Macaca fascicularis: one gene and its partners. The protein of the gene in region 6 binds, or shares a complex with, the protein of the main gene of each other region. Links are inferred from orthologs where the notes say so. Each region holds a gene or a part of one and is shown on either strand. Other genes may lie near its edges. The genes, in order: RBL2, LIN52, E2F4, E2F1, MYBL1, TFDP2 and E2F2.

The links.
Region 1: TFDP2 (region 6) and RBL2 share a complex: the UniProt entries of both Homo sapiens proteins name them as parts of the DREAM complex. The link is inferred for Macaca fascicularis from reciprocal best matches to the Homo sapiens genes TFDP2 and RBL2.
Region 2: TFDP2 (region 6) and LIN52 share a complex: the UniProt entries of both Homo sapiens proteins name them as parts of the DREAM complex. The link is inferred for Macaca fascicularis from reciprocal best matches to the Homo sapiens genes TFDP2 and LIN52.
Region 3: TFDP2 (region 6) and E2F4 share a complex: the UniProt entries of both Homo sapiens proteins name them as parts of the DRTF1/E2F transcription factor complex. The link is inferred for Macaca fascicularis from reciprocal best matches to the Homo sapiens genes TFDP2 and E2F4.
Region 4: TFDP2 (region 6) and E2F1 share a complex: the UniProt entries of both Homo sapiens proteins name them as parts of the DRTF1/E2F transcription factor complex. The link is inferred for Macaca fascicularis from reciprocal best matches to the Homo sapiens genes TFDP2 and E2F1.
Region 5: TFDP2 (region 6) and MYBL1 share a complex: the UniProt entries of both Homo sapiens proteins name them as parts of the DREAM complex. The link is inferred for Macaca fascicularis from reciprocal best matches to the Homo sapiens genes TFDP2 and MYBL1.
Region 7: TFDP2 (region 6) and E2F2 share a complex: the UniProt entries of both Homo sapiens proteins name them as parts of the DRTF1/E2F transcription factor complex. The link is inferred for Macaca fascicularis from reciprocal best matches to the Homo sapiens genes TFDP2 and E2F2.

Annotation. Positions count from the first base shown.
Region 1 is NC_088394.1:49,468,637-49,472,136, reverse strand, and holds part of RBL2 (retinoblastoma-like protein 2), read right to left. Parts: intron 2,746-3,500; coding exon 2,674-2,745; intron 2,016-2,673; coding exon 1,910-2,015; intron 1,343-1,909; coding exon 1,134-1,342; intron 268-1,133; coding exon 103-267; intron 1-102. UniProt on the Homo sapiens protein: Key regulator of entry into cell division. Directly involved in heterochromatin formation by maintaining overall chromatin structure and, in particular, that of constitutive heterochromatin by stabilizing histone methylation.
Region 2 is NC_088381.1:142,138,976-142,141,340, reverse strand, and holds part of LIN52 (protein lin-52 homolog), read right to left. Parts: intron 732-2,365; coding exon 521-731; 3' UTR 1-520.
Region 3 is NC_088394.1:63,212,453-63,216,596, reverse strand, and holds the start of E2F4 (transcription factor E2F4), read right to left. Parts: upstream 2,801-4,144; 5' UTR 2,740-2,800; coding exon 2,605-2,739; intron 2,206-2,604; coding exon 2,096-2,205; intron 1,958-2,095; coding exon 1,796-1,957; intron 1,488-1,795; coding exon 1,444-1,487; intron 546-1,443; coding exon 484-545; intron 263-483; coding exon 1-262. UniProt on the Homo sapiens protein: Transcription activator that binds DNA cooperatively with DP proteins through the E2 recognition site, 5'-TTTC[CG]CGC-3' found in the promoter region of a number of genes whose products are involved in cell cycle regulation or in DNA replication.
Region 4 is NC_088384.1:89,710,102-89,714,312, forward strand, and holds the start of E2F1 (transcription factor E2F1), read right to left. Parts: upstream 2,801-4,211; 5' UTR 2,680-2,800; coding exon 2,419-2,679; intron 1-2,418. UniProt on the Homo sapiens protein: Transcription activator that binds DNA cooperatively with DP proteins through the E2 recognition site, 5'-TTTC[CG]CGC-3' found in the promoter region of a number of genes whose products are involved in cell cycle regulation or in DNA replication.
Region 5 is NC_088382.1:76,568,944-76,572,443, reverse strand, and holds part of MYBL1 (myb-related protein A), read left to right. Parts: intron 1-601; coding exon 602-744; intron 745-1,519; coding exon 1,520-1,634; intron 1,635-3,500. UniProt on the Homo sapiens protein: Transcription factor that specifically recognizes the sequence 5'-YAAC[GT]G-3'.
Region 6 is NC_088376.1:44,787,825-44,791,324, forward strand, and holds part of TFDP2 (transcription factor Dp-2), read right to left. Parts: intron 2,959-3,500; coding exon 2,812-2,958; intron 1-2,811. UniProt on the Homo sapiens protein: Can stimulate E2F-dependent transcription.
Region 7 is NC_088375.1:211,610,218-211,613,717, reverse strand, and holds part of E2F2 (transcription factor E2F2), read right to left. Parts: intron 2,214-3,500; coding exon 1,945-2,213; 3' UTR 1-1,944. UniProt on the Homo sapiens protein: Transcription activator that binds DNA cooperatively with DP proteins through the E2 recognition site, 5'-TTTC[CG]CGC-3' found in the promoter region of a number of genes whose products are involved in cell cycle regulation or in DNA replication.

The DNA of each region.
Region 1 (3,500 bases), on a different chromosome or scaffold from region 6:
GCTCTCATCACTCTAATGAGTGCCTAGGCTTAGCACAAACCCTCTTTCTAGCATCTGAAGCATTTTGGGGTTAGTAAAGGCCAAGATTGATGTTAGGCTCACCTTTGAAGGACTGTTGCTGAAGTAATAGAAAATCTTTTCTCGAGGAGAAAGCATTGTTTCATTTTTATGTGGGGAAATGTAGACAGGATGATTTTGAGACAACTGTATTCGGCGAGGGGAGCCTGTTCTTACAAATGGATAGGGAGAGAGTGGAGGAGCATCCATCTGTTAAAAAAAAAAAAAAAATCAGTAACTCTAAGAAAAGAAATTTATAATGAGGTATTTTTACTGAGAATGATAAGAGTGATATATTAGCACTAATTTAACCTAAAGAAAAACATTCTAATAGCAAACCTTAAGTGCTTAGTTTGTGCCAGTTATTATTTTAAGCAATTTTTATACATTATGTCATTTCATCCTTACAACTCCATATGCTAAGAACTAGTTATATTCCCATGTTTTATATATATGAGGAAACAAGGTACAGAGAAAATTTAATGATTTGCAAGGTTACCACTACTGTTAAGTACTAGACAATTTGAACCCATGTAGCCTGTCTCTTGTACTACTATACTTTGTAGGGACTCCAAATACAATCTTATTCTTGTTTAATGCTTAACAACAGAACTTATGTTGGTTAGGTAAATTACAGACCTCCTCAGTTTTACTTAATAGAATTATTTGTAAAACTAGCTTATTTATGAGACAGAGTCTCGTTCTGTCGCCCAGGCTGGAGTGCAGTGGCGCAATCTCAGCTCACTGCAACCTCTACCTCCCATGTTCAAACAATTCTCCTGCCTTAGCCCCCAGAGTAGCTGGGATTACACATGTGTTCTACCACGCCTGGCTCATTTTTGTATTTTTAGTAGAGACTGGGTTTTATTTACCACGTTGGCCAGGCTGGTCTCGAACTTCTGACCTCAACTGATCTGCCCGCTTCAGCCTCCCAAAGTGCTGGGATTACAGGTGTTAGCCACCACGCTTGGCCAAAACTAGTTTATATATGGACCAGGTGAATGGTCCATATATAAATCATAAATAATTCCTCAATACTCATGAAAAAAGCATGAAATGATCCCTGTAATACTTACTACATTTGCCTGGGAGTACTTCATGGCAAATGTCTTAATCTGTTTGATGTAGATGTTGTTGTAGAACTGAATGAGGTCTCCCCTCTCTTCTTCTTCCATGTCACTGTTGGCACCTGTGAGGCGAGTAGGTGTAGGAGGAGCACTGCTGGGCTGTGGAACTGGCAAGGTGCTGCTTGACCTCATGACTGGACTGGAGTCTCTACTGGCTGCTTCCAGGAGAACACAGGGTGTCAATACAAAAGCTGCTAGTATAGATTGTTTTAATTTTTAAAAAGTAGGAGAAAGGGAACAGCTACCTGCATTACTTGCTAATAACAGTGAATAGGCACTCTGTTCTTCACACCAAAAGGCAAAGCTCAGCTAGGATTTTAACTTGATATCCCTATGCCATAACCATAGCAAGGGCTTTCTGAGTAGTATTAATAAGCTACACCAAGTTTTCTAGGACCTAAGCCCTAGGACAAACCAACAGGTAGGGGATGGTATTTCCATAGCATGGCTCCAACTGACATGTCAGTCCTTTCTGAAACTCAGGCAAGCAGATTCCTCACTGAAAGCTCTAATTCTCCTGGAGAAAAATGTTATAGAATATGTGCCCCAAAGCTATGGAATGGACAGTTTTGCCACCCAGAATTTGATTTACTGATCCATTAAACCCTTTGTTTATACACTTTCATAGTTTCTATAGTTATTTCATTTAGTAATGGTTACTTCAAGTCCTAAAAAGTAAGAAAAGCTCCTAATTTTGTCTTGTAGTTCACAAAGATCCCACTTACTTCTATCTTTGTTTAGTTCTGTTGGAGAATTCTGATGGCTTCTGCTATCACTGCTGCCGGAATTTCGTCTTTTTCTTTTCCCTTTTATCAAAACACTTCTATACACCTTTAGAGAAATAATGAGAAGGGGATGTAAACTAGTATTTGTTGAGCACACCCTTGGTGATAGGACCTTGACATATGTTACTTTTCACAATAATCTGTGTAGCAATAGTTGTCCTCAGAAGAGGCTAAGAAACATAACTCAAATTATAACAGATCTAAGATTCAATCAGAGCCCATCTAGCTTCACATGCCAAGTACTACTTGCAGTACCACGCTGCGGTAACAGCACCCAACCATAAAGTCAAGTCATTCTAAGTCAGATACACAGATCTGCCAATTTGCCTCTCAGAGACGAATCGTAATAAAGGCAAAGTGGGTTTTAAATTTCCATGTGACATTCTCTTGGTTAAACGTACAGTATGTTTACTAAACCAGAATGGTGACATAGAAACCAAGTAACTTCTTAATTCCTATCTATCTTGTGATTTTTCTGAATTGAGAAGGCAATCAAATATTTAACATTGTTGCCTTCTGAGGAAAAGAGAACTTAATCAACATGTGACATCAAGAATAAAGAAGATTAAAGCAGAAATTTCCCTTAAGTAGAGTCCCAGGTGTTTATCTTGGAAAAAAAGGCCACAGAGTCAACTATGGTTAATTTCTTGTATTCATCACAGACTTTAAGCGTTATTTTCAGCCCATAGAGAAAATGTAGTTACCTGGCTCCGGGCCTGTGGCTGAGTCCTATAACAACGCATAATATTCTGGAAGGACTTATCTTCTTTTGTGACCTGGCAAACAATAAGAGTGCTCTGAGAGATACAACAACTTCCACCATAATAGTGTGAGGAGCTGTGTGAACCTGCTGCCCAGTAAAAGGGGTGAAAATTATATAAAAGCTATTTAAAGTCTCTGGAAATGGTATTAAAGGCATATAGCAAATGAAGATACATCGATTCAAGAATATCTATTAAAATTCATTAAGAATAATATGTGAATCAAGACTTAGAGGCCAGTGCGGTGGTTCACACCTGTAATTCCAGCACTTTGGGAGGCCGAGGAGGGTGGCTCACTTGAAGTCAGGAGTTCAGCCTGGCCATCATGGTGAAACCCAGTATCTACTAAAAATTCAAAAATTAGCCAGGCATGGTGGCATGTGCCTGTAATCCCAGCTACTAGGGAGGCTGAGACAGGAGAATCACTTGAACCCGAGAGACGGAGGTTGCAGTGAGCTGAGATTGAGCCACTGTACAGTCTGGGCAACAGAGCAAGACTCATCTCAAAAAAAAAGACTTGGAGTAGAAAATTACAGTAACTGAAATGAAAAATTCACTAGAAGCTAGGGAAAATAGATTTGAAGTAGCAAAAAAACCAAAAAGATTAGCAAACATGAAGAGATGATGTGATCTGAGAACAGAGAAAGAATGAAGAAAAATAAACAGCCTCAGAGAAATGTGGCACAGCATTAAGGAAATCAACATAAGTGTAATGGGAGAATCAGGAGAGGAGAGAAAGAAGCAGAAAAAAATGTTCAAAGAAATACTGA
Region 2 (2,365 bases), on a different chromosome or scaffold from region 6:
TCCAGGAGGGACTCAGGGATCCCTTTGCCCGAAGTCAGAACTGGAAGGTGGGGCTGGGAAGTAAGGAATGAAAAGCAAATGGGACTATCATAAGAGGTATAGAAGTTTTAAAAAACAGATGTACATTTCAAGAAGATTCTGGTTTCTCCAGCTGGGGATTCTGGGAACTTAGTATATACTGGAGAGTTCACAGGTCAGGCTGCATGGTCTGGTCCAGAATCTAGTTGGTCTCTGGTCTCCTTGCATCAAAAACACTTCCTAAGAGATCAAGAACAATTCAAAAGAACCCATCCAATCAACATGTCACAACTGACTGCCATGACTGAGTCAAATCAACCGTAAGATCCTGGGGCTCCTGAATCACTTCCAGAAATGAGAAAGCAGGACTTTGACCTTTAAGAATGATATGCCCTCAGCTGTTACCAATATCCGAGGCTAAGAAGGTTCAAGTCTGAAAGCTGACTGAGTAACTGCAATGATCCTTGGGTAGAGCAGATTCTTCTCTTGCTGCTGAATGTCCTCAGACGCGTAGAGTGCCAGGAACAGGGGAGAGGGCAGTCCTGGAGGTACACCCTCTGGTCTCTCCCAAGCAAGCAGTGAGGTGTGCATTGTTAGAGGTGCACCGGGAAGGGAGCTTGGTTTCGAACCCCAGGACATCCTGTCCACAAGCAGCTGCTACTTCTTGGGCTTCTCTAGAATATTGAGGAATTTCCCCCGTGTCATCTCTCTGGCTGGAATCACAAAGCAAACAAATGATCAATGAAAACCTAAAATCTGAAAAAAGAATCATAGAAAGATTTAACTTAAAAATGCAGATTGATTTAAATTATATATCAAGTTGCTATCACAACAGATTTAATCATCACCAACTAACCTCCTAAAAGAGGGTAAAAACAAACCGTTACAGACAACTACAACTCTACAAAGCTATTCTGAAGTTGGCAATTGAGATACACACCAAATGACTGCGAAAGATTGTATCATTCACCTTTAAACAAATCACCAGGGGATTCCCCCAAAACCTCTCTCTGTCTCAAGAATCTAACCTAATACTCATGTTCACTATCTCAGGGGGTTTGCTTTTGGGGCCTAAAATCCAACCAAGATTAGTCTTCTCTGGGTTGCTGGTCTCTGGACATTTATAATCTCAAATCAAAATTAGAGATCATTTACCCTATCTCTCGGCAGTGGTAGTCCCTGGATACTGTAATATAACAGGGTTTATATTCCCTTAGTGCAGTTCATCTGTGGATGGTGTCATAAAGTAGGGTTTATAGAGCTTTGGTCTTCTTTCCCTTGGCATTGTCAGTCCTTAGATATTTAATATAGCCAGCCAAGGTTTATGTGTCTTTCTCCGGCTTTCAGCACCATCAATCTTTGAATGCTGTAGTTACAAGTGGGTTTATATAGCTACTTTCCTACATAGAAGGTTCCAAAATGAAAGTAAAACATTTCTCAGTTACAAGGGCCACTCCAGAGGTCCCCCATTTTAGATCTCAGAAAGCATACGTAGTGTAACAGCCCCTTCCTCATCCTCATCCTAAAAGGCCATGTTTTCAGATTTCTTAAATGGATTTAACAGTGCAGAAAGTTTCTGATGGCTGATGGCTGGCTCTGGGAGCCAGGCCTTCTGGAACCATGCAGTAGGCACAGGGCAGGTTGTGTGGCCTCCCAAGAACACATCTCCATCATGGCCAAAGAAGTGAGGTGGCTAGGGAGGCACCCTCAGGAACGAGAAGGACCTTCACCCAGGCCTCCTTGTTGCCTTTCCCAAGTCCAGAGCAAACAGAGCTAGATGAATGGCCTCCCGCTCCCCTCTGCCCCAACTTAAATTTTCTTGTTTTATTGTACAATGAAGACATAAAACAACACAACCTCTGGGACCACAGGGAGGCTTTTGGTAACTTCAGTCTATACGTTCCCCATCTTTCACTAGTTCCTGTGCTCCAACAGAGGGAAAGGAAATTCCATTAACTAGGCATAGAAGCCCAGTGTTGGGTCTTGCCTCACGTGCCCACAATCCCAACCCAGATCAAATCAAACAGACCGTTCCTTCCTTTGTGGATTTATAGCAAATCCTGTATAAGCAAAGTTCCTATAAGACTTGCATGCAATTCCTTGCTTATATAGTTGTCTTCCTCTACTAAAAGGTACTGAAGGCAGAGACTGTTTAGTGCTTTGGACTTCTCTCCCTCGGCAAAAGATCCAAACAATCAGATCCAAACTCCAGAGCACGTGCCCTCCTGTTCACTTGTCATCAGAGATGTTAACATTTCTGATTAATTCATATAGCCCTTATTTTATTCCTCATTTCTTTATCCTCGCTCTGCTGCAGTGCGAAGATTCTTACCGACCTGCTACAGAC
Region 3 (4,144 bases), on a different chromosome or scaffold from region 6:
CTGCGCTGCCGGGGACAGGAGTGGGAGTGAGCTGAGGACTATTTGGACGTGAGGCTTCCTGGGATTGGGACTGGGCTAGGGCAGGCTTCGGCAGAGGTGGAGGCGTGGAAACAGCAGGTGGGTTCTGGAGCAGATCTTCAGGTGGTGGCACAGGCACAGCCACAGGGGGTGAGCTCCATGCCTCCTTGTTCACCAGCAGAACCTCAATGGGACCACTCACACTCTTCAGGTGAATCTGGTACTTCTTCTGCCCATTGAGACCCTAGAGATGGGTGGTAAGGGATGGGAGATGGGTAGAATTGGAAGCAGGCTTGGCTCCTGCCCGACTCTGTCAGGACCAGTGTCCTCTCCCACCCAGGATGCCCATCCTCCTAGATAACCCCAAACTCCAGGCCTCCCCTACCTGCCCCACCCGGGACTTATCAGTCTCCACAGCCAGCACCCGCCCTCAGCTGACCCCGCCTGCCTGGGCTAAGCACCCACCTCTGGGATGGGCACCTCCAGGCTGGTGCCTGATGGGGCCCGGATGGCCAAGAGGGTATCTCCTAGAATGACATGGAGAATGGGTCAGAGCCCATGGGCTCAATCTGAGCTGGGAACAGAGGTGCCTGTCTTTTGGAGCAAGGCAGGAGATCATGGTCTCTGAGGGACTAGACAGTGGACCTCACCCATTCCCCATAGTGGCTGGGCAGAGCTAAAGCTCTTCTCTTCCTGAGAGCCCAGAGTCAGTAACCAGGAAATCTGGGTTCAAGTATGTGGAGTCAAATATCACTGGCCACAGGCACCTCACTCTTCCACCGATGGCTGTTCCCTAGGTGAAGGTATTCTAGCCAAGGCCAACATCCCTTTCCCATGACCAGTCAGGAGGATACATGATGGAGAAGAAACACATCAGCGGGGCACAGTGGCTCACACTTATAATCCCAGCACTTTAGGGGGTTGAGCGGGGAAGACAGCTTGAGCTCAGGAGTTCAAGACCAGCCTGGCAACATAGCAAGACCCTGTCTCTTTTTAAAAAAAAAAAAAAAGGAAAGAAAAAAAAGGAACATATCCTGCATTCACAATGCAATTAAACTAACAAGTTGGAAGTGGGCACCCCCATGCCCTGCATGTAAGAGCCTGAACACAAGCAAATACACACATATCCTCTCTCCCTTTCTCCCCCTTGTACCTCTATCATACTCAAGAAGCCAAATCCAGGAAACAGTACAGTTGGGAACAGACCCAGGAACCCACTCCAGAATTCCTGTACCCTCTTGGTATAGCTGACCTCCACAGGGTCCCAGTGACACTCAGACAGAAGACTTACCCTGCCTGGTTCCTCTCTGAGCAGGCCCCAGAAACCCTCTTAAGAGACGGAACTCTCCTGAGACACTGAGCCCAGTGCTCAGGGATTTGGTTGAGCCCAGCCCACCCCCTCACCCCTACCCAGGCTCTGCTCACCAGCAAAGCATCTGCAGATGTCCTCATGAGTGACGTAGGCCAAAGTGTGAGGGTTAAGGAGAATGGCCGATGCCCTATGGTGACAGATGGCAGACTACAAAAAAGACCCAATTCTTTAGCCAAGGTCTGACACAGAGGCCCCTCAGAGAAAGTTCTGGGGACTCAGGTCCACTGGGGGAGGGATCACAGGCTAAGACTGGAAGGGGAGAGGCTCTGAGGAGGGAGCCTGAGGCTGGGCCATGGCCAGGGGCCACAGGACAAGCTCCCAAGAGGAACAGGGAGCTTGCCCAGGGCAAGTTGAACCAGAGGGCCCCTTGCCCACTCCCCCCAGGAGGGAACGCCAGGAGGATATCAGCTGTTCTGCACGTCCTCTGTGACGTTCCGGATGCTCTGCTGCACCCACACCTTGTGCTGGTCTAGTTCTTGCTCCCGCTGCTGCAGCTCCTCGATCTCTGCCTTGAGCTCAATCAGCTTGTCGGCAATCTCCCGGGTATTGCAGCCAGGCCCCACACCCCTGAGCCCAGGGAGTGGGGCTGAGAGGGACTGCTGAGAACTCTGGGTCCCACGGCCCCTGCCTTCTTTGGCACCCTCCACCCCACCCCCGACACTTCTGGGTGGGAGACTCTACTACCCTCCCACTATCCCCACTCACTTCCACTGGATGCTGTTCTTGGACTTTTTCTCGATCAGCCCGATACCTTCCAAAACATTGGTAATGTCGTAAATCCGCCGCTTCTGGCGTACAGCTAGGGTGTCAGCTGCCTGGCAGACAGAGTGGAGAATGCTCAGCCCCACTCTCGGGTGTACCCCCAGCCACCCTGAGACGTGGTCTGGGAAGGGAGTAACCTGGATTCCAACCCTGTAGTGCCTGCCAGGCGCTACTGCAGCTCAGGCCCGCAGCTCTGTCCCATAGGCAGCTCTTCTCCTCGCCAGCCAGGAAGGGCCACGAGGACGAACACCTGGAGCCCCGAGCCTGGCCCATAGCTGTAGCTCAATGGCCTCGGCCGAATGAATGAAACATTCCCCGGCTTCTCTCCTGTGAGAAAGCACACGATGGCGGCCGGCTCTCGGAGGACCCAGCTGGGCCGCCCCCGGGGTTCCCGCTACCGGCCCAGGCCTGGTCCACCATCCTCCCTTGTCGCCCCTTAGCCCGGGCCGCACCAGCTTGAGGTCAAGCACGCCGTCCTTGGCCTCCTGCAGAAGAGACACGAACTTGGTGGTGAGTAGTCCCAGGCTCTTTTCGTGCCGGCTTGGAGTGCCCGGGGGCGGCGGCGCCTGCGGCCCGGCCTCCGCCATCGCGTCCGCCCGCCGCCTCCCCTCAGCCAGGCCAGGCCAGGCCGGCGCCGCCGCCACTTCCGCTTCCGTTCCTGGCCGTCCGGCAGCCGGAGCCAGCGTTGCTGCTTCCGCTTCCGCCCCGTGCGTCTTCCAGGGAACGCGGCGCTATTGCTGTCTGTGGGTGCAACCGCAAAACTTCAGGGACCATTAGCAAATGTCCAGCCGCCGAATAAGACGAAAACTACCTGGGTAGACCGGGAGTTGGGATGAAGTTAGGGAGGAATGAGGAGGGCGTCAGTGGGCAGCCCTGGCAGTAGAGAAAGGGATGCCATCGGAACTTTCCTTGCCAATCTGCCCCAACATCACTAACTCTGCCCAGTCCCCATCTCGGGAGACAAGACCACACTACCTGACTAATCCAATCTGTTCCCTCAAATCAGTTCCTTTTAAATTTTTTTCTCTTTATTTATTCTTTTATATTTCAAACTCATTTTACTGCCACATCAAAAATGTTCCTAAAGGTTCCCCTACTGTCTTGGGGTCACCCCATCTATTCCTGTCCCTCACTTCCTGCCAAACAGCAAGCACTAACTATATCTACCTTGTCCACCTCTCTCCATCCATGGTCCTAGCCTCATCTTTCGCTCATCTTGTCCTCCCGCTACAGTGCTCAGAGACTATGGGGTTATATACACTTCAGGCAATGCAAACGTATTTACCTATGTGTATATATCAGTAAAGCACTCAGAGTCATTTCTGGCATGTAGGAAAGTTTGCTAGGGTCATTTTGTTACTTGTAACATTGTTACTATTTATTATTGTTTCTTTTAGGTCAGGTTCTATGGGAAATGGGACTCGAGACAGGGTTTTGCAGCAAGTTTGTTGGGGATCCACACTTCTTTTTTTTTTTTTTTTTTTTGAGACAGGATCTCACTCTGTTGCCCAGGCTGGAGTGCAGTGGCAAGATCAATGCCATCTCAGCTTCCTGGGCCCAAGCGATTCTCCCACCTCAGCCTCCCAAGTAGCTGGGACCACAGGCATGCACACACCATGCCCGGCTCATTTATTTTTAGTTTTTGTAGAGATGAGAGTCTCACTATATTGTCCAGGCTAGTCTCGAACTCATGGGCTCAAGCGATCCTCAGACCTCAGCCTCCCACAATGCTGGGATGACAGCGTGAGCCATCACACCTGGTCAGGATCCACACCTTTAAGGGAGTAAGACAAGCAGAATTGGGCAGATGCAATTATATTATAGGCCTCAGCCTATGCCACTAGGATCTCTGAAATTGGGGTAGCACTTCTGAAGAGTTTATGTTCACGTGATGGTACCATGCTTTTGCACCCCAATATTGATCTCAGCAGCCTACACTCCTGGCAGCTGGAGAATGAGCACTTCTGTCCTGAAGGGTGGATTTGGGTGGTG
Region 4 (4,211 bases), on a different chromosome or scaffold from region 6:
GCCTGGGCAACATGGCAAGACCCTATCTCTACTAAAAATACAAAAATTAGCTGGGCGTGGTGGTACACGCCTGTAATCCCAGCTACTTGGGAGGCTGAGGCACAGAATAGCTTGAACCTGGGAGGCGGAGGTTGCAGTGAGCCACAATCACGCCACTTCACTCCAGCCTAGGTAACAGAATGAGACCCTGTCTCCGGAAAAAAAAAAAAAAAAAAGTTAAGTTTTCCATAGTAAACACGTATTATAGTTATAATACTTGAGTTTGTGGAAGTGGACAGGCAGGGCCAAGAGGAATGGCCAAATCGCACAGAGCGTTATATACAGGTGTTCAACGAATGCCTGCTGGTATAGAAGCTAAGCCTGTAGCTTATTTCAAGGACTGCCCCAGACAAATGCCAGTGCAGAGAGGCCAAAAGCCGAACCTGTGGACTTTCTGGACTTCAGCTCCAGAATGGTGCTAGCCTCCTGGCCCTTACGTATTCTGGGAGCCGGGGCTCCTTGTCTCTGTGCCTAGTGCCTCCTGGGCATTCACTAATTCAACAACCGTTGAATGAATGCAGTGCCCAAGCCAATGAGCCTGCCCCTGACAGGTGGCGCGGAGGGCATTTTTCTTTGCCCCTGTCCCTCCCTTTGATCCTAGAACCCATAATCCTGTTCAGTTACTTGAGGACAAGACCCTCGGGTTCTGTTAGGTTTCTGCAGACCTGAGCCTGCTATATGCTTGTCACACAACTGAATGGAAGATGCTTGCCCAGGTCCCAAGCGGTACCCACAGGGACAGGTCCCTGGAGTACAGGAGACAGGCCACCTGGTCCACCCCTGGTACAAACCCCTCCCACCCACTCATTAAGAGGAAGGGCCCCTAAAAGCCCTTCCTGCCCTTTCTCCAACCTTTATCAGCATCTCTAGGAAGCAAGGCGTCCCAGAGGTCAACCTCACAGAAAATGCAGACTGGTCTCCCCACTCAAGAGCAGAATGACATGGGAAGATTCTAACATCTCTAGGCCTCAGCTTCCCAATCTGTAAAAAGGGACTGCTGCTGATAGGGTTAAATGAGTTAATTAGGTAAAGTGCTTGGCACAGAGCCTGGCACACAAGACATCCTCAAAACAATGGTGGCTGCTATTGTTATTATTATTAGCATTGTGGTGATTCCGGAAGGCAGCATTGGGCATGGGGCCAAGGGGGTTGGGGGAGCCTCCTCAGGATGCCTCAGGGACCAGCTGCCACCCACACCCCCATCAGCAGTTAGGCAGCTTCTACCTCCTTGTCCTGAGTCCTGCCTCACCCCTCCCACTTGCTTCAAGCTCCCTGCTGAGACCCCATCCTGCCTGGCCAGGCCCCGCCTGCACACCAGAGCCCCACCTTCACCCATAGGCTGCGCCAGTCAAACTGGTCTCCACACCCTGCCCTGCGCCCCACAGGTCCCAGCTCTACACCTCCAATCCCTTCTCCCACTGTAATTCAGCCGCCTCTTCTGGGCCCCCCAGTCTGAACTGGTCTTGAGCTCAGCGATCAGGGAGGACTTTATTAAAGGATCTCCCTGGGACATTTTCTCTCCTGGCACTGGGGGCCTCTCCAGCTCCCAGAGGCCCAGCCCACCTAGTCCTTCTACAGAGACTCAGGGGTCGGCCTGCCTGATTAATGAGGTTCCATGGCAACCAGGGCCTGGGAGGGTGGAGGGTGGCAGATGGAAGGACAGGCAGAGGGAGGGGACCTGCAGCTGGTCCAGCTGCCCCGCCCCTGCAGAGAAGGCCTCCCAGCCAGGAGGGCTGTCCCCAGAGGCCTGGCCAGCCAGGCCTGCACCTGGCAGTCAGCATCGAGGCAGAAGGAGGGTCTCCTCAATGGCTCACCAACGGTTAGGCCCCAGGACCTTCCTCCGCCCCGCCTTCACTTCCCCTAGCAGCTGTGCTCACTACCGAGATGCAAATTCTGAGCTGAAGCCAGCAGGCCTCAGTTCAAATCCCAGCCCCACCACCTGCAGCCGTATGACCAGGGGCAAGTCACTTCCCCTCTCTGGGCCTCAGTTCTTCCTCCGTCAGATGGGCACAGTGACAACACAGCTCACAGCGGGGTTGTGAGTTTTAGCTGACTTGAAGTCGGCCGAAGGCCTGGCATGCAGTAAACGCCAGTTGAATACACGTGGGTTATTATTATCACTGAGTCTGACGCTGGGGAGCCTCCAGTGAGGAAGCTGAGGCCCAGAGCACAGAGGAGCAAACAGGGACCGGCCCGAGGTCACCCCGCACCCCAGGGCGGGGCCCGCAGGCCCAACCCCGGCTCTGCACCGCCCAGCCTGGGCGCCTCAGTCAACCCCTCCCCCGCCCCCTGCCGCCTCCAGGCCAAACACGGCGCCCTCCCGGGTCTGCGCGGGGGGCACAGGAGGCGCTGTCGGCGCGTCGTCCCTGGGGTCCGTACCGGCGGGCGGCCGAGCGCGGGGCGCGGCGCACTGGGTGTGGGCCGGGGCGCCTGCGGTGTGGCGAAGAGCAGCAGGTCAGGGTCGCAGGGGCCGGCGGCTGGCGCCGCGGGGCCGGTGGGAGCCGGCGGGGCGCTGGCGTCCTGCGCGGCAGAGATGATGACGATCTGCGAGGAGTCGAGCAGCCGCAGCGCGCCGGCCCCGAGCAGGGCCTCCAGCGCCGGCGCGCATGGGCCGCCCGCAGGGGCCCCGGCCAAGGCCATGACGCTCACGGCCCGCGCGGCCCAGGTGACAGGCGGCGGCGGCGGCGCGGGCCCATGGCGGCAGGCCCCGGCGAGGGCTCGATCCCGCTCCGCCCCCGGCCGCCGCTGCCTGCAAAGTCCCGGCCACTTTTACGCGCCAAATCCTTTTTGCCGCGAAAGAGCCACGAGCCGCCGAGCGCCGCCACAATTGGCTGCCCGGGCCGTGACGAGAACGACGGCGGCGGCTCCTATTGGCTTTAGCGCGCCGGACCCGGCGGCGAGGGGCGGGATGGGGCGGCGGCGCGGGGCGGTACGGCCAATGACGGGGCGGGGCGCGCGCAGGCTTTGTCCGGATGGTGCCAGGCGCGGTCTGACTCCCCGCCCCCAGCCCGGGCGTCCCCTGTTGGAGGCGTGGGGACACGGGAACACGGGCCCCGCCCTGCCCCGCCCCGCCCTGCCCCGCCCCGATGCTCCCGCATCCCACTGCCCTTTCTATAGTGCAGGTTCAGAACAGAGCCTCTGTTCTGCACGTGACCCTCAACCTGTAGCCTTCCACAGCCTCAGCTTAGATTTCCAGAGACTGCCCCCTTTTTTTTTCGGGATCATCAGTTCCACAGCCCAGCCATCAGCCACCTCTTCCATCCTCAACTTGCCTCACCCATGACATTATCCTAATCCTGCACCCGGCCCTATCCCGCTCACCCAGAGCCCAAGCTGAAGAGCGGTGGCTAGAAATGGCGGGGGGACGTCAAGCTTTCCTGCAAGTCCCATTTTAGCCAAAATCTCCAACAGCCAACGTAAAGCGTCGGCCTGAACTCATTCATTCCCTCACTCATTCAACAAACGTTTGAAGAGCCTGCTCTGTGCCTCATCCTTAAATCTGCCCCATCCTTAACTCGTGGCCCTGAGGAGCTCACAGTCTAGTAGACGGGAACAGAAAGGTAACAAACGTTTACAATAACATGAAGCGTCGTCTGGGCGCGGTGGTTCACGCCTGGAATCCCTGTAATCAGAGGGCGGGGTGGATCGCTTGAGTCCAGGAGTTTGAGACCAGCCTGAGCAACATGGTGAAAACCCGTCTCTACAAAAAATACAAAAATTAGCCAGGCATGGTGGCGCGTGCCTGTAGTCCCAGCTACTTGGGAGGCTGAGCTGGGAGGATTGCTTGAGCCCGAGAAGTCGAGTCTGCAGTGAGCTATGATCATGCTACTGCACTCCAGCTTGGGTGACAGAGCGAGATCCTGTCGCAAAAACAAAACACATCACTTCTGGGGAGCCCTCCCAAGGATTTACTCGCTTCCTCTATTGCCCACTGCTGCCTCTGTTCCAATGCTGACCACACACTCCTTTTCTCCATCTGCCTCCCCTACCAATCTAGGAGCTCAGTAGCGACTCCTCCCATCACTGGTCTGACCGAGAGCAGGCGCTGAGAAAGGTTATGAAAGAAACAGACGCTAAGCCAGAGGCTGCTTAGACTGTGACAAGGAGACTATGGTTCTGCAAGGGTGGTCCTTAGGCCACTGGCTTCAGAACCACGTGGTCACTTGCTAATT
Region 5 (3,500 bases), on a different chromosome or scaffold from region 6:
AATTGTATTGTGAATATAATTAGTATTTCACAGTTGTAAATTATATAATTTAGAAGATGGACTCGGTGATACCAATTTTGACTTCTTAGAGGTTCTGTGTTCTAGATAGGCAAATTTGCCAGACAGCTGTATTTCTCATCAGCAAAGCGTTATTATATTCTAAATTAAAATACTCTCATAGAAAAAGCCACTTAAGGTCATTTATTAATAAGAGCTAAAAAAACTTTTTTCAGTTACACACTGTTGTACAAAACTGTTAGATTTAACACGGCAACTGTTTATAGTTTCTATGGATCTCTATTTGATAATACACTTTTTACAATTTTTAGTATTTTTTTTGGTAACTTTTGAATATTTGTTAAATGTTTCTTGAATTCCTATATGTGCTAAACACTGTTCTAAGAGCTGGGGAGACAAAAATGAACAAACCAGACAAAAATTCCTACCCTCATGGAGCATAATTTCCATGGAGTATAAGTGTAATATTATTCATAAGCTTTTTAAAAGAGGTATGAAGAAATAATTTGAAAATCTTAGTTTAATATTTGTGTAGGGATTTTGATGTTCTAGAAATCATCTTTAAACTCTCTTCCATTTTTAGTTTTTCAACACATGTCCTGGAAATGAACAACTTAATATAGAAAATCCTTCATTTACATCAACCCCTATTTGTGGGCAGAAAGTTCTTATTACAACTCCTCTTCATAAGGAAACAACTCCCAAAGATCAAAAGGAAAATGTAGGGTAAGTAGGTATTAAATAATTGTGTTAGAGAAAATGGGGAGCACAATATCAACAGTAGATTAGCTTTTTGTGCATATAAATAGCATGTATCATAATCCCTATTCCTACAGGACTTAGAATTTTTTTTTTTTTTTTTTTTTTTTTGAGATGGAATTTCGCTCTCGTTGCCCAGGCTGGAGTGCAATGGTGAGATCTCGGCTCACTGCAACCTCCACCTCCCGGGTTCAAGTGATTCTCCTGCCTCAGGCTCCTGAGTAGCTGGGATTACAGGCATGTGCCACCATACCTGGTTAATATTGTATGTGTAGTAGAGATGGCATTTTACTGTGTCGGCCAGGCTGGTCTTGGACTTCTGACCTCAGGTGATCTGCCCGTCTCAGCCTCCCAAAGTGCTGGGATTACAGGCGTGAGCCACTGGGCTGGGCCAGAATTTTTTTTTTTTAAATCATAGCCTTATGTTTTCTCCTTAGGACAGTCAAAACCAACTTAAATATAGTATCTTTGATTTCAATGAAAACATTTCTAGTACTTTTTTCTGTATTAATTCTTTTTTCTATTTTAAGATGAGTGATTGAAATCAGAATTACCATAGGCAGGCATACTGTAAAATAGTCTTAGAATGTTTAGATGAAGCATATATATATATATGTGTGTGTGTGTGTGTGTGTGTGTGTGTGTGTGAGAAAATTTAGTGTGTGCTTAAATTGCTTTGCTTTCATTAACTCGTATGCAATCAGATTGTGACTATAACATAAATATCTAAATGATTGGATAGTTTCAGAACACCTACTATTAGAAGATCTATATTGGGTACCACACCAAGAACTCCTACTCCTTTTAAGAATGCGCTTGCTGCTCAGGAGAAAAAATATGGACCTCTTAAAATTGTGGTATGTATATTCATTTTATTTTTAATAATTTTCCTAATTTTAAAAAAACACATTGTGATTTTTATCACTTTGATTTTTAACATTTAAAAAAGATGTTTACTGAAACAGATACAAAGCTTTATCTTTTGATTTTCAAGTTTTTTATTATTGTTGTTTTGTTTTGTTTTTGACATGGAGTCTCGCTTTGTTGCCCAGGCTGGAGTGAAGTGGCACGATCTCAGCTCATTGCAGCCTCCACCCCCTGGGTTTAAGTGATCCTCAGGCCTCAGCCTCCTGAGTAGCTGGTATTACAGGTGCCCGCCACCACACCCAGCTAATTTTTGTATTTTTAGTAGAGATGGGGTTTCACCACATTGGCCAGCCTGGTCTTGAACTTCTGACCTCAGGTGATCCACCCCCGCCTCGGCCTCCCAAAGTGTTAGGATTACAGGTGTGAGCCACTGCACCTTGCCTAATTTTTAAGTTTGAATTTTGTGTCCACCTTTTTCTTTAACTTGTAAATCCTTGCTTGGCTTGTTTTGAATTCTTAGCTTTATAGCATCCAGAGAAAACAGATCAGGTGTCAGTGGAACTCTTCTGTTTTTTTTTTTCATTTTTCTTTCTTTTTTTTTTTTTTTTGGAGACACAGTCTTGCTCTGTCACCAGAATGGAGTGCAGTGGCTCAATCTCGGCTCACTGCAACCTCCACCTCCCGGGTTCAGGCAATTCTCCCTCAGCCTCCTGAGTAGCTTGAACTACAGGCTTGCGCCACCACGCCCAGCTAATTTTTGTATTTTTAGTAGAGACTGGGTTGCACCATGTTGGCCAGGATAGTCTTGATCTCTTAACCTCATGATCCGCCCGCCTTGGCCTCCCAAAGTGCTGGGATTACAGGAGTGAGCTGCTGCGGCCGGCTGAAACGCTTTTCTTAATACTGAAATTTACATTTTAGTAGTTTCAGTCATGGTTACATGTATTAGAATAAAATAATTTTAATATACTGAAGCACTTTCATGATAATATTTAGGAAACTAATCAGGGTACCTCTTTAGGAAACTAATTAGGAAAAGGCTCAGTTTCCTTTTCTATGCAAAGGAGATCATAAAACACACCCCAAATTGTTACTGTGAAGCTGAAAGAGTTGATGCAATTAAAAGAGCTTGTCTGAGTTTCAAGTAGTGTGTGCTTGGTTGCTGCTGTTATTCTAATAATAGTATTTGCGGTAGTAGTTCACGAATGAATAGGACTGGGAAGTGTTCTAGTTACTGTGCTTTCATATATCTTACTGCCTTTGAAATACCTTGGAAAAGTGATGGGCATTTTAGGCAGTTACAGATTTCTGACAAGTTCTTTAGAAATACAATTTTTAAAATATTGGTGACTTTCAGGGTTTAGTTATGTTCTTCTATTTTTAGTCACTTTTTGGTTAGATTCGTTAGCAAATTCTAGTTTACTTGATTTAATTAATTTTCTGCCCAAAAGCATGTTACACACACATCTACTAGTCTTTTCTTTCTTTTTCAAAATACTGTGTTAAAGGGTACATAGTAGGGTTGATCGAGTCTTTTTGTCATTTAGCTCCATGTACTGCTGTGAACAATCATGTTTCCTTTAGAGCTTCCTGGAGTTTTTATTTATGCATATACGTAAATAAAACAAGAGTATGACCACACTTTATTATTTTATAACACCATTTTTTAATTTAACCAAGTAAATGTATATATTTATCCCATAATTTTTAATGTTTGCATAATATTCCATTGTGTGGAATTACCTGATTGATTTAGCCTGTCTGTTTCAGTGTTTTGCTGTTTATTTTAAAAATTCATCATTAATTCAGGAAATATTGATTGAGTGCCTAATAGGTTCCAGGCACTGCACTAGGCT
Region 6 (3,500 bases):
AGGTGGGCGGATCACGAGGTCAGGAGTTCGAGAGCAGCCTGGCCAAGAGACCAGCCTGGCCCATAAAGTGAAACTTTGTCTCTACTAAAAAAAAAAAAAAAAAAAAAAAAAAAAAAATTAGCCAGGCATAGTGGCAGGCACCAGTAATCCCATCTACTTGGGAGGCTGAGGCAGGAGAATTGCTTGAACCTGGGAGGTGGAGGTTGCAGGAGCTGACAAAGATCGTGCCATTGAACTCCAGCCTGGGTGACAGAGCAAAACTCCAACTCAAAACAAAAAAAAAAAAAAGAAAGAAAATTTACAGGAGCCCATTGGTTTGGACTGAGCTCCTGCACTAGGCCCCAACAGACCAAACTAAAATGGAGTCACTCATGCTGAAGTTCCATGCCACCAGGCCAAAACTAAGTTGTTTATCTGACCTAGGAAATCAGGAGAGAAAGACAGAATAGTAAACTACCCAAACAGGCCAGTTGCAGCTGGCATAAGAGAGTCTTCTCTGTTTTACCCTTACAAGGAAAGTGACATTGAAATGTCCAGTCTGCTTTTTCATCTGTTTCTGCCTCTATCTGCCTTTGCTGCTTCTCTATCTTTAAAACACTGAATAATGTTCAACCTCTTCTGCTCAGCTTATAGGAACACTCATTCTACTTACTAGTGAGGTGTTGCCAGATTCTAGAATCACAAATAAAAGACAATTAAGATCTTTAAATTTGTTACAATTTTGTCTTTCGATCATCAAATAAGACATTTTTCTTTTCTGCTTCAGCAGATTATCTCTTACTTGCTCCGCATCCAGTCTAGTTTATACTAGGGAGTTTCCATTCATGATTCCTCTATCCACCACGTTTTACTTTTAAATTACTTAAGATTCACGTAAAATCTGTGTGGCGTTCTACATTGGAAAAGATGTTGTAGGAGCATCCCTTTATCAGAAGCTCTGACAAGCAAGGCCCCTTATCTGTCCCTCATCCAACTAGGTCAAGCCACACCGATTCTACCTCTATAACACCTCTCCAATCTCATGGCCACTGCTGTTAACTCAGACCATCTCTAATCCCCCTCCTCCATTCCATTTCCTTCCCTACCTGTTAATTTTACTTCCAACCCACTGGCAGAGTGATCCTTCAAAAAACATCCTATCAACCCTTCTCTTTGTAATTTATCAACTGCTTCCCTTTGTTTACAGGATCAGGTCCCCACTGCTTAACACTTAGATATCTATCCATCTTTCTAAATGCCTGTTCCCTAGCCACACCCAGCTCCAGGCAAGCTTTCTCACGCCTGTCTCAGCCCATGCAGCGCCTCTGCCTGGAAGGCCCTCCCCACCCGTATCCACTTGGCAAACTACTCCCACCTCATGCCTGAGCTCTGGGATTATCTCCTTGGTAAAGCCCTCCCCCATCCCTCTTTGCAGAGAATCTGTACATTTCTTTCATAGGAGTAATCACATTTTTGGTTAACTCTTTTACATTTCTCTTCTCCCCAGTTAGAATGACAGTTCCTTGGGTTCAGAGATTTGCCTTGTATAACCTGTGATTAAGCACAAGGTAGATGTGAATAGGTTTTTTTGCTTAGTAAGTCTTTAGTATAAGCTCAATATTACTCATGAAAATGATGCTCAAATTCCACTCTATCAGAAGGAAGAAAAACGAGAAAAGGAGGATATTTCCACTGTAGCATATGAAAAATATTATATAGCTTCTGATGAATATCTGGTTTCTCTCTCCATCCATAAGTATAATAATACCAAATAACTGAATTGCTGGGGAGAAAAAAGACTGAGAAAAACAGAAAACCAATCTTAATTATCTCCCAAAGCTATATGTATATACACACACACACACATATATATACATTTTTTTAAAGATGGAGTCTTGCTCTTATCGCCTAGACTGGAGTGCAATGGCATCATCTTGGTTCACTGTAACCTCTGCCTCCCGGGTTCAAAGGATTCTCCTGCCTCAGCCTTCCCAGTGGCTGGGATCACAGGCGTCCGCCACTGGCTAATTTTTGTATTTTTAGTAGAGATGGGGTTTCACCATTTTGGCCAGGCTGCTTGAACTCCTGACCTCAGGTGATCCACCCACCTTGGCCTCCCAAAGTGCTGGGATTATAGGCGTGAGCCACTGCGCCTGGCCCCAAAGCCGTATTTAACCTCAGTTTATTCCATTTATGGTCATGGTAGTAAAATTATGTCATGTCAATTTAGAAACAGTATGTCAGGGAACATGCTCATGTAGAAAGAATTTTCTATAATGCTTAAAGTTAACAGAACTTAAAATGCTTCTGCATACATAATTCCAAAATTCTATTCATTCTGGTAAAGACACAAACGAAACACTATTCATTCTGTTGCTATTATTTCTAAAGTCAAATGCAAAAGTCTGACTTTCACAGCTATATTCAGAATATTGTGTAACCAATAAAGGAAATCAACAGCCAGCTTGATCCTTTTTTTTTTTTTTGGATACATACAGCAAGCATCTTATCAAATAAGATACCATTTCACCAAAAGTTTATTAGTAGAGTGCTCAGAATTAACTTAGAATGAAATAAAAATCTTCTCTAAGAAACAGTAAAATCAAACTGTTATTTAACTTTTATATCCCTCAGTTTCATCATTTACAAATTAAACTGTAGACTATACCTATAAGGCACCTTCCAATTCTAAAATTCTACAGTCTGTTAAAAAATGACATAGTATACATGAAAAATTGGAAATATTTTATATTACAATTACATTTTTAAATTAAAATGCCTCTGATGTAAAATAATACAAAAAGCTATTCATAAACAGATTTTCTCACTTACCTCCAGATTCTGACATTCCTGAGCAGAATTGGTAGGCAGGCCAATCCACTTGATTTCTTTTTTTTCCTTTGAAATTATGTTCATTGCCATTAGCACATTTAAAGCATCATAAACTCTTCGCCTAATGTTTTTCTGATCGTAAGCCTGCTAAAAAACATTTTCATTGAGTGATAATTAAGGGTTAAGATACAGTCACATGATATTAATATGTCAAATTAATATTACGTCTTCAAAGTGCTGGAAGGATTCTATTTTTTTATTTAGCAAACTGACAAAGACATCCAAAAGAATTCTATATTCCGTGAAAATATCCTTCAAAATTAAAGATGAAATAGAAATACTTTCAAACAATATAAAACAAAATAATCTTAAAAATAAAGATCATGTTACCTGCAGATCTACACTGAAATATACTAAAGGGATTTCTTCAGGTAGAAGAAATATCATCTAAGATGGGAGCTTAGAGATGTAGGATAGAATGAAGACCAATCCAAAAGGTAAATATGTGGGTAAATCTCAATTTTCACTGTATAAAACAATAATAATGTCTTATGGAGGCTAGAATAAATACAGAACTTAATTAATATACATGACAATAAATAGTATATATTAACAGAAAAACATATTGGAGGTAAAGTGTTCTAAGCCCTTGCATTATCTGGGAGGATTTTAGACTTAAAAAAATCAAG
Region 7 (3,500 bases), on a different chromosome or scaffold from region 6:
CTTCAGACATCAGTCAGTTAGTTCAGGAGCCATCCAACAAAACCAACTTCATATTTTAAACCAGCTTAATGCTACAGACTTTTTAAAAAAGTGCTGTCCAGCCAAGCCTCTGAGAAAACCTAGCTCCCTGAGGGGTGGGTGGCAGGCCTCTCAGACCAACCCCTGCGCCTCTCTCCAGAAGGCACGGCCTTGGTTCAGCCCAGAGCACCCACATCCCAGGGTGAGTGGAGGACAAGAGCAGCTGGGCTGCAGGGATAATGTGGGATGATCAAGCCTCTGGGGGAACAGGCTGAAGCCAAAAGACCCCCTTAGGACCCCAGGCCTGAAGAGGTAACATGAGTTCCTCTCCCCATTAGCTGCGAAGGCCTGGTCTGCCATGAAGTCCTCTCTCTGTCACCCCTCAGTATACCTGGGAAAAAAGGGGTGAACAAGTCACCAAGCCCCAGTCACCTCTGTCCTTGGGGGTCTGAGTGAGCTCTGAGGGGTGGAGCGGTCCTTAAGGAACCATCCCCTTCAATAACATGGTGAAAAACTTCCTCCCAGGGAAGCAGAGAATGATGCCAGCGCCACATCGGGGGGCAGAAGGGATGCTTTGGGCAGTTTTTTGTTTTAATCTGACCCTTCTTTTTTTTTCTTTTTTTTTTGGAGACGGAGTCTCACTGTGTGGCCCAGGCTAGAGTGCAGTGGCCCGACCTTGGCTCACTGCAAGCTCCACCTCCCAGGTTCGCCATTCTCCCGCCTCAGCCTCCGAGTAGCTGGGACTACAGGCGCCCGCCACCACGCCCGGCTAGTTTTTTGTATTTTTTTAGTAGAGACGGGGTTTCACCATGTTAGCCAGGATGGTCTCGATCTCCTGACCTCGTGATCCACCCGCCTCAGCCTCCCAAAGTGCTGGGATTACAGGCTTGAGCCACCGCGCCCGGCCTAATCTGACCCTTCTTTACAGTGGGGCTGCCTCTGCCTACCAAGTCCTTGGTGCAAAATGGCTCCTGGACCACAGCAAGGCAGAAACTCTGAGGAAAGGTGCCCGCCACAGCCATGAGAGCTGCCCCCATGTTCCTGTCTGTTTTCCTTGGGAGCTTGTCTCTGCTGGACCATTTTTACATCTCAAAGGGAGGGAGAGGTAAGGACTTCCTCAGGAAAGGGGTCTCCTGAGCAGGTGGCTCCTGTTTCCACAGGAGCCACAGTGCTACCTGCCTTAGGATGGCTCCCTGGAACCATGTCTGGGACAGAGGTGACCAGGAAGCCAAGACTGGCGGCTCAGCTGGAGATGTGAGGCCAAGAACAGGGGAGAGGCGAAAGGGCCCACAGCTGCCGTTTACTAGAATTGTGAGGCCTAAGTGCAATTAGCATTCCGGCCGACTGGACAGCCCCTCAGAGACCCAGCCCCACCACTATGGGGAAACCAGGGACGTGGCCTGGGTCCCTCCCTTGGAAACCCAGACCTGCCCTGGAACATGGACAGCGATGGGCCCTGATGGGCCTGTCTGCGGAGGCCTCACTAAAAACTAGAACAACCTCCCTGCTAAAACTCAGGGAGCACAAACAAACCACTCAACCTGAAATAAATACAAAGGCATTAAGTGCTTCTTGTACGTCGAGGGTCCTAATTACCCCTCAAAAGGAGGTAGCAGGGCCTTTCCCTGGACTTGGCCACCTCACCTGCAGCCTTCTCGTGAGAGGTCAGAGGTCAGAAGACTGGATGGGCCTCCCCAGGCCCAGCTTCCATTAGGAAGGTGAGGACCCACACCCTTATCCCCTCCTCACCCGTACCATTCACATCTCCCCACACAGCTTCTGCCGGCTGGGGTGGGAAAGGCGAGGAGACCCCATTCCCTGAGGGCAGCACCTAGTGTCCAATGTCCCTGTGCAGGCAGAGGGCCTGTCAGCCTGTTTGTGAGGAGGTAGAGTCGGGGGCAGGCTGCTGGGGGCAGGCGGGGCCACTCAATTAATCAACAGGTCCCCGAGGTCGTAGGAGTCGAAGAGGTCGCTGATGCCCTCACCCGCCTCCAAGCCCCACAGGTAGTCATCCTGGTCCAAGGACGGGGAGAAGCTGATCAGAGGGGAGCTGCACGCCAGGGTCGGGGACAGGAACTGGTCCTCAGTCTGCTGCAGGAGTGGGTGCGGCAGCTCCAGCATGCTGTCAGTAGCCTCCAAGGGGACCAGGGATGGAGGCAGTGGGGCCTGCTGGGGGGTTGGCGCTGGCGCTGGCACTGGAGACAAACAGACAAAGGTTACGCCTGGCCCTGGCATCCAAGCCCTCAGCACACGAGGACAGACTTCCGGTTCTCTGGACGACTGCACCCTTCTCCTCTCTCCTCAGCCTGGGTGCAACGCCCTGCTCTCAAAATCCACCTTCCAGAGTCTACACCCAACCCTACCCCTTTTCATGTACTTTTTATTTTTCTGAGACCGGGTGTCACTCTATCACCCAGGCTAGAGTGCAGTGTTGTGATCTCGGCTCACTGCAACCTCCACCTCCCAGGTTCAAGCGACTCTCCCACCTCAGCCTCTGAGTAGCTGGACTATAGGCACACACCACCACACCCAGCTAATCTGTGTATTTTTAGTAGAGACGGGGTTTCACCATGTTGACCAGGCTGGTCTCAAACTCCTGACCTCAAGTGATCCGGCTCCCTTGGCCTCCCAAAGTGTTGGGATTACAGGCCTGAGCCACCGCGCCCGGCCAAAAAGGAAAGAAATTCTGATATATGCTACAATATAGATGAACCCTGAGGACATTAAGCTACGTGAAATAAGCCAATCACAAAAAAACAAATACTGTGTGATTCCACTTATATGAAATACTTAGTCAAAAGCGCAGGGACAGAGAGTAGAAGGGTGGTGGTGGTCAGGGGCTGGGGAGACAGGGGAATGGGGAATAGGTACAGAGTTTAGTTTTACAAGGTGGAAGGAGTTATGGACATGAATGGTGGTGATAGTTACACAACATTATGAATGTATTAATTACCACTGAACTGTACATTTAAAAATAGTTACGATGGTAAATTTTTGTTATGTTGACTCTACTCCCCACGACACACAACTATACCTTACCTCGTCACCCTCTCCAATTACTGGCCCATTTTTCTGCTCCTTTGCGCAGTAAACTTTCTCCAGAGTAGCCTGAGCTTGTCTCTACTTCCTTATTACTATTCTCTCTTCAACTCACTCCAGTCTGGGGTCTCTCCCCACCATGTCCCTGAACCAATGACCTCCATGCTGCTAAATTCAATGGTCATTTATCTGGCCTCATCTTATTTGACCTTTCAGTAGCCATTCTCCAGCACTCTAAGCTCATTTCTTTCTCTTCTTTTTTTTTTTTTTTTTTTGTGTTTTTGGAAACAGGGTCTTGCCCAGGCTAGAGTGCAGAGTGCAGTAGGGTGATCACGGCTCACTGCAGCCTCAACCTCCTGGGCTTGAGCAATCCTCCCGCTTCAGTCTCCTGAGTAGCTGGGACCACTGGTGCATGCCACCATGCCCATCTAATTTTTAAACTT